2 linked regions of the Tribolium castaneum genome follow. The protein of the gene in region 1 binds, or shares a complex with, the protein of each later gene. Links are inferred from orthologs where the notes say so. Each region holds a gene or a part of one and is shown in the gene's direction. Other genes may lie near its edges. The genes, in order: ND-ACP and bcn92.

Region 1 (3,071 bases):
CGTCACTGTCAAACACGCGACGGTCTTTGAAGTCCTGATTGCTGCCAGTGCTGTCGTCCGTGTCGTCATCGGACTTCCGACGTTTAACTACAAAGAATTATTTTTTTTTACCAGAAATAGCTGCTTGAAAATTGCTTGACCGCCAAAAAAAGACACGATTATAAAAGCGAGATTTTGCAAAAACAAGTTTCTCAATTAACGTTTTTTTTTTCCGGGCTTTATCTTGTTAAGCTAGTTACATTTTTTCCGTTTGTTGTAGGGCGCGCTCTCAGGGGAGGGTTTCCTCTTGCCAGTGCTTTTCACCAGGCTTTCGGGATTGTTTGAAGTGTTCGCTTCCTTCCACTTGGCGTAACCTTGCGAATTGAATTCGACAGCGTGACACCTGGCCAACTCCGACGCCGCTTCGTCTACTTTAAACCCATGACGAGACAGCACATCGTGAATAACCTAGATTAAAAACGCCACTTAAGGAAACTAATTTCATGCTCCAGTACCATAGCATCAACATTCGGGAATGACGACATTAAATACTTCATCTGGTTCTCCTTCTCCAAAACGGCCGGATTCTTCATATTTTTCGAATTGGGGACAATGACAATATTTGGTTTTGGAGTCACCGCAGATTGAGAATTTGTTCCAGAACTATCACAGTCGGAATCAGAATCTGAAAATGCAATTATTCGGCGCCTCACAGCCCCATTGGATGCTGGAAACAATGTTTAACAGTTTATTAATTAAAATGAACTTGGTCTTACCGGAGCTAATTGCACCGTTGTTACTGTGGTGACTTAACGTCTTTTTTTGTATTCGGAAATCGCGCAAATTTAATAACGTGGGGCTGCCGTTCTCTGACATTGCGCCAGTTACAATTTTATAAATAACATAAAATATTAAGTATAAAACTACAAAATCGTTCTCATTGAGGCACCAGACACCTTTGACAGACGATGGTGGAAGAGTGGGATTATTGCCGCTCACAGGTGGCAGCAATGAGGCAAAAGCGCAAAATTCGCGCAAGTAATTTAAAACCAACTCTCATAAACTAATAAATAATAAATTTCCCGAAAATACAAAGTCCTCTACCCAACGTTAACTGCAATAACCACAAAAACGAAACTACGACTTACAACACTTACAAGTTAATGGTTTTAAGATCAACAAACACAAAAACGTAAAAGGTGACTTACCGTTAAATTATTTAACGCATTTATTGTAAATAAACACCAGTTGAAGTAAAATTGGTTTTTTTTGTGTAGCGTCTTAAAACAATGAAACGTAAAATTAATCCAAAGCACACTTTTCGTACTTCAATTCATTGTCATTGGGGGCCATAGAGGCTCATTTAGTGACTTGGGGCTAGTAAAATTCTTAATTCTATGCCATTTCTCTAGTAATGGGAACGCAATTTATTTTTTTGCGTTAACCTAAACATATAATTTAGTTTCGCGGCTTTCAAGATTGACAGTCGACCGGACGTCGTAGATGTCGCTGTGTGTTTCCGCCTCTCGACATTTGCTGACATTTAGGCCAAGTTTTTGAATAACAATATTTGCAAAAATGTCCGGTTTGATAAAAAGCGTGCGCGTTTTATCCCGAAATTCGAGTTATTTACGAGCTGTTGCGATTAGGCCACTGACTGTCATTGCCAATAAACACAAAAATTATGACCAGCCCCCGGTTACAAGCAGCTCAGTATTTGCACCCCTTAGCCAGGTACGTCCAGTTTGTCCGATTAGCGGTTGCATTTCCGTTCAATTAGGGTGATTTGGTGGAAAAAAGTGCGTTTTTTGTGATTACATAACTTCTAACCTCACTTTATTAGATGCGATTCTACTCGCCTGAAGTAATTCGGACGAAACCGACTGAAGAGGAGATAAAACAGAGAGTTTTGAAAGTTTGCGCGTCTTATGATAAAGTAACCGCCGACAAGGTACTACATAATTTTCTATTTCAGAGACTGGTTTTGCCACTTGAGCGATGTTACAGTTCCAAGCCACCGTTGACTTTAAAACTTATCACAGACCGCGTCCTCTTGGTATTAAAACTGTACGATAAAGTCAATCCAGACAAGGTACGGTAATTTTGCACTTTGTGGCACAGTCTCTGGAATGATCCTGACGGACGTGTTACGATTGACTCGTTTCAGCTCACGCTAGACTCACACTTTATTAATGATCTGGGGCTTGATTCCTTGGACCATGTGGAGGTGATCATGGCCATGGAGGACGAATTCGGGTTCGAAATTCCAGACGGAGACGCCGAAAAACTGCTAAAACCCGCTGATATCGTGAGGTATGTTGCGGACAGGGAAGACATTTACGAATAGGTTTGTAGTAAAACAGTAGATAAGGCTTAATGTTGTGTTTGTTTTGGCACTGATTTGCCAGAATTGCACCATAATGTAATTTGATTTGTTAATAAAGCGTAAATTTTAACTGAGTGTTTTCATTGTATTACATACGCTATTTTTCTACCAACTGTCAAACGATCATTACATTCCCATTGGTCGTGAATTGTCACGTGCTCGTCATAATGCACTCGGATTGGTCAATGAAAGACTCAATATGAATAAATCTTTATTAAACCTCCTTTGAAGTTGATGCATCTCCGGAACCATCATAATTCATATCACAGCTACTTTCTGAGTCACTATAGTTGGTGAAATGTAACGAGATCTTGAGCGTTTGTTGTTCAGAGTCGAGACAGCGCGGCCACTTGATCGGTATCAGCATTTTTCGTCGCTTGGACGACCATATGTTTTCTTTAGCCTTTCGTTTAGGGTCCTCATATTCTAAAGAAACAATAAAGCTTGGTTTTTATTAACAGTTAAGTCACCTTTCGGAAGCATCCAGAAAAAATTGTGTTCGTAGATTTTAGCTAATCCAGGGATGCTCTTGAACTGTTTGTACAATTCTGGATGTTTGATAATACACTGAAGGCAAGTGAGTTGTAAAGATGATTCAATTGAAATGGCACAAGTCATTTTCATTGCTGATTGTGCTGCTGTTGAACTTATCATGGGGTAAAGTTTGTGTGATTTCAACCCTTGGAATGCAACACCTTGGAAAAAA
Region 2 (2,476 bases), on another chromosome or scaffold:
GAGGAATTTTTAATTCTACAACAAAAAAATTTATAACTCAAAAGCTAAAAGTCGTAGAGCAAAACGGTTTGTTCCAGTGAATTCTGGGCTCATTTGACGTATTATGGCAGCTTTTCACAAGATTTTAAATTTTGGAAGTCACGACCAAACGCAAATATTATTAAGACCGACAAACAAACCTAAGACAGTCATGTCGAGATAGCGCAGGTCGCACTGCACCCACTGCGGGGGGTACAAGGTAGTGCTTTCTTTTGGGGCCACTGAGACGGCGGTGGCGGCCGGGGCTACGCCCTCCGTTTGCCCACAGCGATCGACTTCATAGTGGACGTATTTACAAGTGTCCATGTGGAAACAAGTGTTAAGGAAGGAACAATCCCCTAAAGCTTCGTCAGTGTGTTTTTGTATGATTTTTTTAAAATGCAATTTTTTGCAGTCTGTGATTCCGTTTCGTTCGCAGTCGGCGCGAGTCCCATGGGGGCAAAACTCCATCAGTTGTTTGCCCCCTTGAGACCTGAAGCGCTCGGCCAGCGAACGCTCTTTGGCCGTTGGTTTACTCAACAGATCTAGAATTTCTTCGCCCAGTTTTTTACTCTCTTTTTCTTTCGTTGAGGGCATTGATAGTAAAGACTAGGGAAATTAATTAATTAAAAGGACAGAATCAATCAGTTAATTACCATGATGTCAGCTTTTGGTTCCTTCTTCTCTTTTTTCCTCTTCTCTTCGTCTTCGTTTTTCTCCGAGTCGTTTCGCTTCCGCTTCAGGGATTCCCTCACCCGTTCAGGCAAAAACTCCGCAATCATTGCGTTAACTTTAGTCACATCGATAAAAGTCACTTCGACCACGTTCTTCCCCTCTTTGACTAAATCCTTGATAGTGATCAACTTCTGAGTTGAGAATTTTTGCAACAAATTGCAAACTTCCTTATGTGAGGCATGTCGCTTCAAAGTCAATTTCAACGAATCGACCAATTCCGTCGAAGTTGTGGGGATCTGAAGAGTGACTTCGCTCAGCGCCTTCAACAACTCTTTCTCCAGCTCTGGGTCGATTTTCACCAAATCGATTTCACCCTCCTCTGGTCTTTTAACATCTTCGCCCCCAACACCACCCGCATGGGGGCTGTCGGACAGGTGCACAGGTGACGAGTTGAGACTCGAACCAAGGATGTCCTGCCGCTCCTTCTTGCGCTTTTCCAGGCGTTCGCGCAGGATGTTCCGCTTGCTTTTGATAGCTTGGATCTCTTCCCAAGCGTCCGACATTTCAAAAGACTATTTTCCGCCAAAAAAACACAACTAACACATGTTTGAGGTTACGGCTAACGCTAACTAACACAACCTCAACTCTTTGGTTATGTTCTTTCGGTTTCGTAAAATTGGGGCAAAATGAGTAAAAGACAGGCGTTGCAGTTGTATAAAGCTCTGATTCGCGAGTCGAAGAAGTTTCCGGCTTATAACTTCAGGTAAGGGCGTTTTTGCAAACGATTTTTTCATTGGGGGTTGTAGACACTATGCCTTAAGGAAGATAAGGGACAGTTTTCGGGAAAATAGACAATTGACTGACCAGGACGTGATTAGGCAAAAAATGGATGAAGGAGTTCGTAATTTAGATGTAATTAAAAGACAGGTATTCACAATTAATTCGTTTAGGGGTTAATTGACGTAATTATCTCCAGGTGGTCGTAAGTCAATTATATAGCACCGAAAAACTGGTTATTGAGCACGTGAGGGCCCAAAAAAACTAATTTGTAAGGTTTGTAATGGTTAGAAATAATAAGAGTAATTGTTTGATTTTTTATTTCTTCTTATCAATTGACTTGACTAAGCCTTTTCCCACAATATAAAAGTCTTCAATCAACGCATCCACGTTCAGCTCCAATTTTCCATTCACAAGTTTCCTCCCGCTTGCATAAGACACCTAAAAATAAATGTAATAAATCAAAAAACATCTAAAAATCTCACCTTGAAGTCTCGACTTTCCAAAGCTTTAGGTATCCACAAAACCCCGATAAAATTACCTCCGTACGTATCGTGGAAAAAATTGGCAAAATCGCCGTAATGTTTGCGCAGTTCGGCCAAATACAACTGAACTGGGTTAAAGCCAGTGACTGGAATTTTCGTGCTTTCGTTTCTGTTAAATTCCTCCAAAACAATTTGCCCCTCGGACTCGTCCCCAGTGACTTGTTCGTGTCGTACGGGGTTCAAAAGGGGGCGCAAGTGAATAATAACATCGTACCCCTCAAGATTCGGAATAAACAAGCTTTTAATTGAACCAAAACTCTCTCCTTTGATGATTTGCCCAAAACAATTCAAAGACTCACTTGCCAGTTGTTTGACCCTCCGCAAGACCAACTTCGAGGGCCCCCTTTTGGTAAAAACAGACTCACAGCCGTCGTACGGCATTGCGATAAATAAATCGGGCAAAGCCTCGCGATTTTGGAGGAGTTTCGAGTCGATTTCTGCAAGTGTCTCACTTGCAATCT

What was found.
Region 2: the proteins of ND-ACP (region 1) and bcn92 are in contact, whole or in part, in a crystal structure (PDB 6ODD), measured with the Homo sapiens proteins. The link is inferred for Tribolium castaneum from reciprocal best matches to the Homo sapiens genes NDUFAB1 and LYRM4. Residues at the interface, in NP_004994.1 of Homo sapiens: Lys92, Asp111, Ser112, Leu113, Asp114, Val116, Glu117, Met120, Glu123, Asp124, Glu129, Ile130, Asp132; in NP_065141.3 of Homo sapiens: Arg6, Leu10, Ser11, Tyr13, Arg14, Leu17, Arg18, Lys21, Arg37, Phe40, Arg41, Lys44.

Annotation. Positions count from the first base shown.
Region 1 is NC_087399.1:2,701,152-2,704,222, forward strand, and holds ND-ACP (mitochondrial acyl carrier protein 1), read left to right. Parts: upstream 1-1,516; 5' UTR 1,517-1,557; coding exon 1,558-1,713; intron 1,714-1,822; coding exon of another isoform or gene 1,823-1,930; intron 1,931-1,954; coding exon 1,955-2,071; intron 2,072-2,146; coding exon 2,147-2,326; 3' UTR 2,327-2,381; downstream 2,382-3,071. Other genes in the region: SWI/SNF-related matrix-associated actin-dependent regulator of chromatin subfamily A containing DEAD/H box 1 homolog, read right to left, coding at 1-87, 240-447, 495-706, 756-855; SPRY domain-containing SOCS box protein 3, read right to left, coding at 2,580-2,791, 2,836-3,060. UniProt on the Homo sapiens protein: Carrier of the growing fatty acid chain in fatty acid biosynthesis.
Region 2 is NC_087396.1:23,067,470-23,069,945, reverse strand, and holds bcn92 (protein bcn92), read left to right. Parts: upstream 1-1,313; 5' UTR 1,314-1,379; coding exon 1,380-1,456; intron 1,457-1,499; coding exon 1,500-1,620; intron 1,621-1,669; coding exon 1,670-1,738; 3' UTR 1,739-1,788; downstream 1,789-2,476. Other genes in the region: Mettl3 (N6-adenosine-methyltransferase catalytic subunit), read right to left, coding at 180-627, 675-1,256; Mat89Ba (nucleolar protein 6), read right to left, coding at 1,789-1,911, 1,956-2,476.